Schizosaccharomyces pombe: one gene and its partners. The main gene of each other region encodes a partner of the protein of the gene in region 3 in a complex. Each region holds a gene or a part of one and is shown on either strand. Other genes may lie near its edges. The genes, in order: mis19, hhf2 and mis16. A codon is read from its position in the direction of its gene.

Region 1 (3,298 bases), on a different chromosome or scaffold from region 3:
TTGCATCATCGTTGGCTTTACGCTCCTTTGCATAAGCTTCATCACAAATGGATTGTTCCAACTCCTTACTCTTCTCACGCTTTTCATTATCTTGATGGATACAGTCAATCCCTTCCATATCATATGTTTCCCTTTTTCTTTCCCTTAAATAAGTATGTTTACTTATTGCTTTTTGGATCAGTAAATTATTGGACCGTACTCATCCACGACGGCAAATACTTTTCTAACAACGCTGTCGTAAATGGTGCTGCTCATCACGCTGCTCACCATATGTACTTTAATTACAATTATGGTCAGTTTTTCACCTTGTTTGATCGTCTTTGCAGTTCATATCGTCAACCAGACCAAGAATTATTTGACGCCGAACTTCGCAATGAGAAATTGCAAGAGCAGCGCATTCGCTTTATGGAGACAGTTCAATACACCGTTGAGGGTAAAGATGATCGCACTTATGCCAGCAAGAAGGATAACTAATTCACTTTAAGATTTATTATTTGATACACTCCCCTCTCTTTTGTTTTATGTTCTAGCTTGTCTTTTGAGAGAGAAGCTGAAATAAAACCGCTTTTGATTTGATTTATATAGAATTATTATTTTTGGTATTTTTTCACCGTGTTGTTAAAGCTACTCATATCGATTTTTTTTGCTAAAATGGAAAATATTGCTGAATTATGACTTTAATTCATGTAAACGTGAATTTGGGTTGAAAAGAAGTTATGAACGCTTACAGTTTTGTTTTTGATAGAAAATTAACGCTTTAAAAATATGCGTAACATGTAGTGATTGAGTCTTTTCTGTAGTAAGTTGTGTATAAAGTTCAGTAAAGTTCACATTGGGTAAGTTACTAATGCATCAAAATTATCGTATAAAAGGTACTAATCACATTTTTACTGCTCTAACATTTCTTCTTAGAAATACTCGATTATGTAAATCAAGTTTTTTACCTTGTGCCCTGATTAAGCTTTTTGACCGAAGAGAATGAAGATTTATTGGATGATTATGGTTGTCTTTCACCCCAAATTCGCGAAATCGCAGTACAAGTAGCTCTGTTTCGTACACTCTTGGTTTCTGATTTTCCGTTGGTATAAATCTCCGTCTTTCCAGTCGTTTCAATATGGCGTCAAATTGCTGCAAATTGTCCGGAATTTTTGTATTATGAAACACATTATCAAATGCAATCTCAATTGCTCTTGCTTTTTCTAACGGCATTAAATCCATTTGCTTAACATTTTAATAAAATATCACAGACGGAGAAACTTTCGAAAATTAGGTAGTCCGTTAATATACGAAAGAAAGAATAACTAATTATTGTCGTTTATTAAAGATACTTTAACTAATACTCCTTTTGGAAGAGTAAAACGCGTACTAGTGTATTTCCTACCCTTGAGTATGAGCATGCCATACACATGTGAAGAGTACAAGAAAGTAATATTCTCTTATAATTTCATAATGTAATATATATTATCATAAAGGATTTATATATCTAAAGTCAATAATTTGATATAATTAGTTGCTTTTCTCAAACAAATCATGTTATTTAATGAATTTACTAATAATCTTTTTTAATTGAAGTCCATTAGTTTAATTAGTTGATTTCGGTTTTGGACTCAAACAAATAGGCTCAATGAACTCTGTAATTGCAAATGCTACGTAGACCACCTACAAGAAAGAAAAAAAAAAAATATATATATATATTACAGAAAGCCTCAACTTACTAAGCAGTTAACTCTTGTATTTGAGACGTTTAATTTATACTCTTCTTGTAGAGCGAAGACTAATTTTTCCGTTTACGGTTTTGATTCTCGGGATTAGCGAATTCGAGGTATTTTAGTATATTTATGAACAAAAATGATACACCTGCCGCAGGGGAGTTTTACACAAGGACTAATAGTTGGACAATTGTTGACACTGGCCATTATTTATGTGTTTTTGCGGTTCTTTTTATTTTGTAGTCCAATTCCAAAGTCTGTAGCAAACTCTCCAAAACAAACGGGGAATGAAACACCTGACGAGACTCCTTCAACTCCTTTAAGTAATAACAAAAAAAGGTACAAAAAGCCTCTTACTATCCTTGAACCTCATATACTCAATCTGCTTTACGATGTTAATGAACATGAGCCGGAATCATTGGATTGGTTTAATGTACTAATAGCACAAGCTCTCATACAGTTTCGCTATGATGCATGTTCCAACGATGTTGCCCTGAGAAAACTTGAAACTGTTCTCAACAAAGGTGCTCAAGACAAGTCTATGGTTGATCATATTTACGTGCGAGATTTATCGCTTGGAGACGGATTTCCGGTTTTCAGTCATTGTCGGGTTCTACCTCATCAGCATAATTCCTCACAGCTTCGAGCGGAGATGCTTGTTTCTCTGACTGACAATATTAATTGCACCGTTGACACAAAGCTTTTACTTAATTTTCCAAAGCCTGCGTTTGCAACCTTACCATTGTCCATTACAGTTAGGATTTGTAAATTTGTCGGAAAGGTAAGTCTATTTACAACCTTAATAGTATATAGTCTCTACGATTCTTTACACCCCTCCCCCGGGGGTTTGAAACATCAAGTGTTAAATCGTATCACAGTGGTATTCTACGATAGACTATTTTTTTTCGTCTTTTAATAACGGTCTTTTCTAACATTTGTCCTAGATTATGATTTATTTTTCCCCAAGCAATGGTGCAGGCCAGCCTGCATATATGAACTTGTCATTTGACCCCAATTTCGTGATCTCGCTACAAGTAAGTTCTCTTGTGGGAGCTAGGTCAAAGCTTCAAGACATTCCTAAAATTACACAATTGATCGAATCAAGGATTCGACAATGGTTTACTAATCGTTGTGTTTCTCCTCAGTTTCAACAGTAAGTGAGAGTATGAATTGATTCATACTAACTAATTCCCACAGGATCGCAATTCCCAACCTATGGCCAACCTCTGCAAAAGAAGGACATGCGAGGTCCCATGCACCTCAAGAGGAGTCATCTAATGAAGATTAAACATTCTTTTGACGTAATTTTCGGAAATTTTTTTTATCTATGAATTTTAACGATAATTTATCTCTACCAGATTCCACGAAATATATTGATTATGAAGTCGAAATAAAAATTTTAAGCATTAGCTTGCGAAATATGGCGGGTAACTTCGATTCGGAATCCAGCCGTTCTTCTCATATTCCATCCACCACCTATTGCATTCGAATTCTACGTTTTCCGAACACATTTTTTTAACAATTCGTGATAAATTCCTCGCATCATCTATTCCGCGATGCTCGCTTCCCTCAAACTGAAGACCCCAATG
Region 2 (3,450 bases), on a different chromosome or scaffold from region 3:
AAATCGCTAAGCAATATCTAATCAAATGGCGTATTTCATTATTGGACATTAAAGAGCTATCGATCCGCGCGGAAAAACTTCATACTACTAACGAAATTATCGGTGTTTGGAATCAATGGGTAGTGTCTTATAATCGAAAGGTTGGAATGCAACAAAATGCTGATTTATTTTTCAAAAGAAAGACTTTGCGAGTTGTATTCGAACATTGGCGATACCTTCGTGAGACTAATATGTTATTACGACTGGAAAACAAAGTTGTTGACTTTCGAGAAGTTCAATCAGAAAAACTTGTGCTGCGATGCTGGAATGCTTGGGTAGCGCGGTTATTGTCGGTTTCTCAAATGCTTGACACAGCAGAGCTCTCAACGCAAAAAGTTGTCGTTAGAGCGTACGAAGCATGGTCTTTTCGTTACAATCACCAAAAGGAGATAATGTCTCAGGCAGACCAATTTTATAATGAACGACTAATGCGTTCTGCCATGGTTTTTTGGCGATATCAATTGCGTGCTATAAAATTTTATTTCAATATTAGTGATTGGAAGCGTCGTGAATTTAATAGACAAACGTTGCGAAATGCGTTTGATGCCTGGCATTTGCTGATGTTCCGAGTTACTAGCTTAGTAATGCAAGCGGATAGGTTCCACGAGCAAAAGAAAAATAAATTATTGGGCAAATATTTCCGAAAATGGTTGCAACGTATGCAACTTAATCAAGAAGAATCATCATTACTAGAGGCAGAAGCTACCATTGAGGGCAATCGCACTTCACGCTATATGCATACATTTGATACCACTTTGCCAATGCAAAATGATGAATTCACTGATGAGTCTGTAAATTTTGAAAATCGCTGGAAGCAGGAACTAAAGACTCCCATATCTCGATTTTCCAAGTTTCTGCGGCCTATACCTCCTAATACCCGTTGACATTTACGATTGACGGAGAGAGTTAGTTCTCTTTTTTTTTATCTAACCATTTGAAATGAGTTGAGAGTATATTGATAAACCTTTAGATATGTATAATATAATAGTCATTGCTTTGAAAAGTTTAATACATAGTCGAAAATTCGTGTAACAGTAGCATCAATAATCCTGCAACACATTACAAGTACGTGTGGAATACTTAAAAAAAAAAAAAAAAAACTTTAAGCAGGAAGTGAACGCTTCACTTGATAATTTTAAAAGGACTTTACCAAATCGTTAGGAGAGTAATGCTCCATAAGATGTTCAAAGCAAGTACTACGACTTACAGTAGCAGGCGGTCAAACAAATTTAAAAAAAAAATTTTTTTCTTACAATGAAAAATTTACAAAAATGAAATACGTATAATAAAAAAAAAACTATTTAAATTAATAAAAACAGATTAACAAAGGAAAAAAAATTAAAAACTACAAAGCTTTAAAACAGTGTTTCAGAATAAGTCAAGTGAGAAAGCAAAAACATAAAAATTAATATGCTAAACCCGACATTAAACCAAGGAAATATACATGACAATGATTGAAAAAATTAGGAAATGCAAAACTTAAACCCAATAAACACAATATACCAAATAAAATATTAGGCAATCAATGCATTTAAGAGCGTTCGCCACGAAGACGACGGGCCAATTGCATATCCTTGGGTTGAATGGTAACACGCTTGCCATGGATAGCGCAAAGATTGGTATCTTCGAAGAGAGAGACAAGATAAGCCTCGACAGCTTCTTGAAGAGCACCAATTGCGGAGGATTGGAAACGCAAGTCAGTCTTAAAATCTTGGGCAATTTCACGGACCAAACGTTGGAAGGGAAGTTTGCGAATCAACAATTCAGTAGACTTTTGGTAACGACGGATTTCACGAAGAGCGACAGTACCAGGACGATAACGATGAGGCTTCTTGACACCGCCAGTAGCGGGAGCGGCCTTACGGGCAGCCTTAGAGGCCAATTGCTTACGGGGTGCCTTACCACCGGTAGATTTACGAGCAGTTTGCTTGGTACGAGCCATAACGTAATTCGGTAAATAAACTTACAAAAAGGTTCTTTCCACGTCGGGTGTGGACACTTCCTGCTATATATACCTCAGTCAATCACAACCCTAACCCTGATTTAAGATTGCGATTTCGGCTTCCCCGCTACCTGAAAAAATGTATATATATATGGAGATGGACGCCTAACTACAGCACTTACACAGTAACTACTACGACTAGTACGAGAAGCCATTGAAATTCAAATCATAGGAATTTCAGTGTTTGCGCTTGAAAATTAGTTTTTGATATTGTAAATTGATCAATTGGTAGTCAGTTTGTTTGAACTTACAGGAATCCCATTACTCATATAAGATGTCTGGTCGTGGAAAAGGTGGTAAAGGATTGGGAAAGGGTGGTGCTAAGCGCCATCGTAAGATCCTTCGTGATAACATTCAAGGTATTACTAAGCCTGCCATTCGTCGTCTTGCTCGTCGTGGCGGTGTTAAGCGTATTTCTGCTTTGGTTTACGAAGAGACTCGTGCCGTTCTCAAGCTTTTCTTGGAAAACGTTATCCGTGATGCAGTTACCTACACTGAACACGCCAAGCGTAAGACTGTCACTTCCTTGGACGTTGTCTACTCTTTGAAGCGTCAAGGCCGTACCATTTATGGTTTCGGTGGTTAAACTGGTTGCACACTTTTCGATATTGAAGTGAATTGTATTTTCTTTTTCTTTTTTTCCTACTTTGCATATTAATAGTTGTTTCTCTTTTTATCTTTACTCATTTCTCTTTTAATATCCATTCAATGAATATTTATTTGCACGAAAATGGTTGGTTTTCCTTGAAGAAATGCAATTTTATTGAAGGGATTTGTTTTTCTTTCATTATGGATTGCACGTCTGAGAAATTTTTACCCAACCTTGTGTCTGACTTACTCTGGGAGTAAGCTCTGTTTTTAGAAATAAATAAATAAATTGTTTTTATCTAACATTTATGGGGGGGAGGACAAGAAAACACACAAATTTAGCCTGTAGTTATCACGTTTCATTAATGTATGTTTGGAAGGTTGGAGTCATATCATAACTATGCTAATATATTGTAGGCTTCAATTTGAGAAAAAATTGGGCACGAACCCATCTATTTATATTATACAAAGAGAACTCTACAAGCTGATTGTAAGGTAAATGTACTGAAAGCAAGCTGTCTTCTTTTCCCAACAGGGAAACTCATCTGTGCGTGAATTTATTACTCACGTATTGTGGCTATAATTTTTGATAAACGATGTGACTGTATTTTAAGGAAAAGCGGATTCTCGAAGCAAATTTTTCAGCTGAGTATCTTAGTGTATCGGTAGGTGAAGCAAAACTGGATGTCTTTGGTACACTGTCGCCAATAGCGATAGACGGGCATTTGGCAAACCGTTTTATCACTCTGTCGGAATTGAGAAGCGTAAAGAGTGAAATTTCGCTTTCATCTCGAAATAGCCCACGTCCTCCTACTAATTTA
Region 3 (3,754 bases):
GTTTCCAGAACTTTTTGATCTTCGCTGGTGTTATTTATTATTTACTCGCAGCCAGCGGTCAAAATTACATTTTCATTTCTATGACCAATTTTATATCTCACCTGAATAATCGTTTACTTAATCGCCGAACGAAAGTTTCGAAGAAACTATACAAACGCCTATTCGCAGACTTGCAAAATGAACAAGTTTGAGATATATTATCCCCCTTTTGTTGTTCAATAGATTTTTTTTGCTGTTATGTATAATATTAATAGTTACTATCCTTTTTACTTTATCATGGTCAAACAAAACATTTAATCTCTGGTGTTATAGAAATGTAGTCTGATTTATAACAGTAGTTTTGATGTATTTACAAGGCGACGAAGATCATTTGTTTTAAATTATACAAAAGCTGAAAAAAAGAGAGCAGTCAATTACCATATGACTCTGTATTGTAAAGAATATTGCAAAAAACAGATGAAGCGTAGAAGGATGGAAAAGTGAGTTTGGGTTTTTTTCTATGGCCAACTTTACTCCAGATCCCTAGGAGAAACCTGAACATGATCACGACCCCAAATGACACGAGAAGGGCTCCATATTTGAAGGATATTATCATCGGCAAGACTTCCAACCACCCAACGCTCGTTTGGACACCAACTAAATTCTGAGATGCGATTTGTGTGGCCTCCATGCATAAATAGTAATTCTGGAGAACCATCCTCGGCATCCTCCGGAGTCTGTTCCTCTCCAATCTTTTCTAAATCCCAAATACAAACACGGCGATCAGTTGAACTGGATGCCAATATAGGTTCATCATGAGGTGACCATTCTAACCCATATACCTCATCTTCGTGTCCTTCCAGGGTATGCAACCGTTGATATGGATTACGGAGGTCCCAAAGAGCTACTGTTTTATCAGCACTGGCTGTTGCTAAAAGATAGTCATTAAAGGGATTAATGGCAACGGCATTTATGGCTTTAGAATGAGCCTGAATAACTTTGGGAGCTTCTTCTTCTGGATTTAACCGAGTATCGTGAATTTGCAAAGTGCAATCATCCGACACCGATGCTAATAATGCCTCATGTTGAGGATGAAATTGAACATCGTTAACAATATCAGTATGACGATGATATTTGGCTATGGGGGAAATGACTTTTGTCTCAGAGGAAGTAAAAGATTGTGTCTGAACATCCCATAAACAGATAACTTGATCCTCTGCTCCTGTTGCTAGATTTCCAGGTAAATTCGGGTTCCAGCAAAGACCAAAACCTTCAGCAGTATGGCCCTTCAAAACTGCTTGAGGAAGTGCTTCACCTGTAGTTAAGGCATCATGACAAGTTGTATCAAAAATATAAGCATTTCCTCCTTCTCCCATGGTAGCGATGATTTCAGGCTTTTGAGGCATGTAACGAGCACGATTGACATCGCCATCGTGAGGGATTTTTTGTGAAATTTCAATCGTATACGAGCCCGTGGCCTGTGCTCTTCGAATCGTAGAAGGAGTAAACTCGGTGGTATCCTCATCAAAGTTTGGTAATTGCACAGAAGCAATCTGTAAATAATTTTGATCATTACCAGATGTGTGAGTGCCAAGAATAAGACGTTGAATAGAGTAATCAGTACCTGGTATTCTTCAAGAATCGAGTTAGAAAACTGATGAGATGGTTTGAAGTAAAGGCCAGTATAATCATAGCCTAACTACTTTGGCAAGCAACGTACGTTTTTTTGTCAGGAAGCCATTGAATTGTCAAAGAAGGCCATTCCAAAGCGTGGGTTATTACCAAGTCATACAGAAAGGGAACATTTTGTTTCCAAAGTTTGTATTCTGAAACGAGTATAATCGTCAGTAATTACGGCATAATAATATATATTAATGAAGAATTCCCTTTAATCATACCTTCTTGTATTGTTTTTTGTAAGTCTATCTCGGCATTGAGTTCATTATTCTCGAGAGGTGCATCCTGGACTACTTCCTCTGACATGTTTTGGGCAACTACACAATGGCCCAAACTAGATTGCCAAGTTAAAAGTTTTGGAGTTATAAGTAATTTACATTATTTAAAGATGCCCAAATAAATCTAGCGCACTCTTAAGTCTGAAATAAAAAAAAAATAAAATAAAATTCATGAACAGCGATATAGAAAACAAGTTTCAATGAGCGAAAACAAATTTGAACATGCCTCTAAAAACCATTACTTGATGCCACGTCTCCATGAAAACAGACATTCATAGTGAGAAGAATTCCTCAAACATCGTCTTTATCATGCTCTAATAATTATAAAACCATTTGGCAAAAACAAATATTATAATCTCAGTATACTTTGATAAACAGATTGTCATTATATTTACACTAAAAATAAAACTATTGAACCCAGCCATCAATGGGATATTTATACTGTTGGCTCTACGAATTGTTTTACAGTACACCGTAAATTTATTAAACAAATCATGTAGTATTGCAAACTTTGGGTACGTATCTAAACTAATCAAATATAAACTTTTTTTAATTAAAAATGTCTGGGAGACAATCCCATCCTTGACCCATGGAAAAAAGTCAACGACCGGGAAAGCCACTCAATTCTTCGCTGAAGACGGAACGGATGCATTTTCTTGGTCCGGAGACTCCAACCATCATACTTGACTTCAGGATTGATTTTACTTTACTTATATAACAAAGTAAGTTAAAACCTACTGATGATGGTGAATCATCAACTGAACAGACCCTATATATAGTAAATTTGTTGTGACGGTTTTTACCTTAGGTTAGGGTATTAGAAACGATGTTCTGGAGACTAAGTAAAATTTCATATGTAAACAATGGCTGAAAAGAGAAACTTGTGAAATGACTATGAGTTTTGGCTGATTTTAATTTATATGATTAGCTAGCTTTAATAGCACGTAGTCAGACTTTTGGGTACTTGTCGTGGAAACTTTAACATGCTAACTTGATAAATTATTCGATAACAGTACAATTCAAATCGTGTCTCTTATTTCTTTTAACCTCATCATAGCAATTTACTGATTTTAATTTAAAATATTTATTAAATATAGTTGTGAATTAAAAAAAAAAAATTCCCAGATGAGTACTTTCTTTCTAATGTTATTTATTTTGATATACTGAGGAATTTGTATACCGCATTGCCTTAAAATGCATGCCAACAGTGGTCTAGCTCGTTATTCGTCTCGACTTTTTTTTGGAATAATGCTTGCGTTTGCTAAGTATTTTGAGGAGGCAATTAATATCAGTATATCAATTATAAGAGAGGAATTTAGTATAATTGGAGTATATTTGCACGTTTTGAGTTGTTGATCGTAATCTTATTACTTCAGATGTTTTCATAGCGACTTCTGGTACCCATTGTATATTTATAATTATTGTAACAGTTTTTAACATTGCATTCTTTTTTTTTCTTGCTAAAGTAAATTCATCAAAATTTAGAGGTATTTCTATGAAAGATCTATCCATATCATGTAAATTTTTGTGTTGCCTACATAATCGAGCATCCAAACCTTGGTTGTCGGATACACCTTAATTAATCGGGGCACAGAAGAAATTGAAAAAAACAATAAGCAAAATAATTAAATTTTATGAACCGCAGTCTTAACAGTCATTATTATTAACCTGCTACTTCAAATGCGGTTTTGTTAATGACAGTAAAAAATACAAACACTTCAAAGTATTCAAAGATGAAATTTTCGGTGTGCATAAGCGTAAATAATCACAAAACTGAGAACAAACAGGTCATCAGTAAAAAAAGGCAAAATTTAGCCTTT

Evidence for each region.
Region 1: the proteins of mis16 (region 3) and mis19 are in contact, whole or in part, in a crystal structure (PDB 6S29), measured with the Schizosaccharomyces pombe proteins. Residues at the interface, in NP_587881.1 of Schizosaccharomyces pombe: Trp33 (codon at 1,794), Lys34 (codon at 1,791), Val37 (codon at 1,782), Pro38 (codon at 1,779), Tyr41 (codon at 1,770), Asp42 (codon at 1,767), Leu43 (codon at 1,764), Val44 (codon at 1,761), Ile45 (codon at 1,758), Thr46 (codon at 1,755), His47 (codon at 1,752), Pro97 (codon at 1,514), Asn98 (codon at 1,511), Phe99 (codon at 1,508), Asp100 (codon at 1,505), Glu101 (codon at 1,502), Phe106 (codon at 1,487), Arg113 (codon at 1,466), Ala114 (codon at 1,463), Gln115 (codon at 1,460), Ala116 (codon at 1,457), Gly118 (codon at 1,451), Tyr120 (codon at 1,445), Thr121 (codon at 1,442), Ile122 (codon at 1,439), Asn293 (codon at 926), Tyr295 (codon at 920), Leu296 (codon at 917), Asp310 (codon at 875), Arg312 (codon at 869); in NP_595535.2 of Schizosaccharomyces pombe: Glu56 (codon at 1,053), Thr57 (codon at 1,050), Glu58 (codon at 1,047), Leu59 (codon at 1,044), Leu60 (codon at 1,041), Val61 (codon at 1,038), Leu62 (codon at 1,035), Arg63 (codon at 1,032), Phe64 (codon at 1,029), Arg65 (codon at 1,026), Glu66 (codon at 1,023), Phe67 (codon at 1,020), Gly68 (codon at 1,017), Val69 (codon at 1,014), Asn74 (codon at 999), His75 (codon at 996), Pro76 (codon at 993), Ile77 (codon at 990), Leu79 (codon at 984), His80 (codon at 981), Leu82 (codon at 975), Arg83 (codon at 972), Lys85 (codon at 966), Ser86 (codon at 963), Arg89 (codon at 954).
Region 2: the proteins of mis16 (region 3) and hhf2 are in contact, whole or in part, in a crystal structure (PDB 6S1R), measured with the Schizosaccharomyces pombe proteins. Residues at the interface, in NP_587881.1 of Schizosaccharomyces pombe: Glu29 (codon at 1,878), Leu32 (codon at 1,797), Trp33 (codon at 1,794), Asn36 (codon at 1,785), Phe39 (codon at 1,776), Leu40 (codon at 1,773), Arg349 (codon at 758), Lys357 (codon at 734), Gln362 (codon at 719), Asp366 (codon at 707), Asp369 (codon at 698), Gly370 (codon at 695), Ser371 (codon at 692), Pro372 (codon at 689), Leu374 (codon at 683), Leu375 (codon at 680), Phe376 (codon at 677), Met377 (codon at 674), Gly379 (codon at 668), Val415 (codon at 560), Ile416 (codon at 557), Arg419 (codon at 548); in NP_595566.1 of Schizosaccharomyces pombe: Ile30 (codon at 2,403), Lys32 (codon at 2,409), Ile35 (codon at 2,418), Arg36 (codon at 2,421), Arg37 (codon at 2,424), Leu38 (codon at 2,427), Ala39 (codon at 2,430), Arg40 (codon at 2,433), Arg41 (codon at 2,436), Gly42 (codon at 2,439), Gly43 (codon at 2,442), Val44 (codon at 2,445).

The regions. Positions count from the first base shown.
Region 1 is NC_003423.3:1,321,651-1,324,948, reverse strand, and holds mis19 (protein Mis19), read right to left. Parts: upstream 1,219-3,298; coding exon 880-1,218; 3' UTR 575-879; downstream 1-574. Other genes in the region: C-5 sterol desaturase Erg32, read left to right, coding at 1-474; ERMES complex subunit Mmm1, read left to right, coding at 1,849-2,490, 2,654-2,862, 2,907-2,997; double-strand siRNA ribonuclease Eri1, read right to left, coding at 3,116-3,298. UniProt on the Schizosaccharomyces pombe protein: Component of the CENP-A recruiting complex that ensures the integrity of mitotic spindles through maintenance of kinetochore factors mis6/CENP-I and cnp1/CENP-A.
Region 2 is NC_003423.3:1,363,689-1,367,138, reverse strand, and holds hhf2 (histone H4 h4.2), read left to right. Parts: upstream 1-2,154; 5' UTR 2,155-2,315; coding exon 2,316-2,627; 3' UTR 2,628-2,950; downstream 2,951-3,450. Other genes in the region: protein Sfi1, read left to right, coding at 1-923; hht2 (histone H3 h3.2), read right to left, coding at 1,571-1,981.
Region 3 is NC_003421.2:582,343-586,096, reverse strand, and holds mis16 (histone H4 chaperone, CENP-A recruiting complex CENP-A chaperone Mis16), read right to left. Parts: upstream 1,972-3,754; 5' UTR 1,963-1,971; coding exon 1,878-1,962; intron 1,806-1,877; coding exon 1,700-1,805; intron 1,628-1,699; exon of another isoform or gene 1,612-1,627; coding exon 510-1,611; 3' UTR 204-509; downstream 1-203. Other genes in the region: SPOM_SPCC1672.11C (P-type ATPase P5 type), read left to right, coding at 1-191. UniProt on the Schizosaccharomyces pombe protein: Regulatory subunit of the histone acetylase B (HAT-B) complex. The complex acetylates 'Lys-12' of histone H4 which is required for telomeric silencing.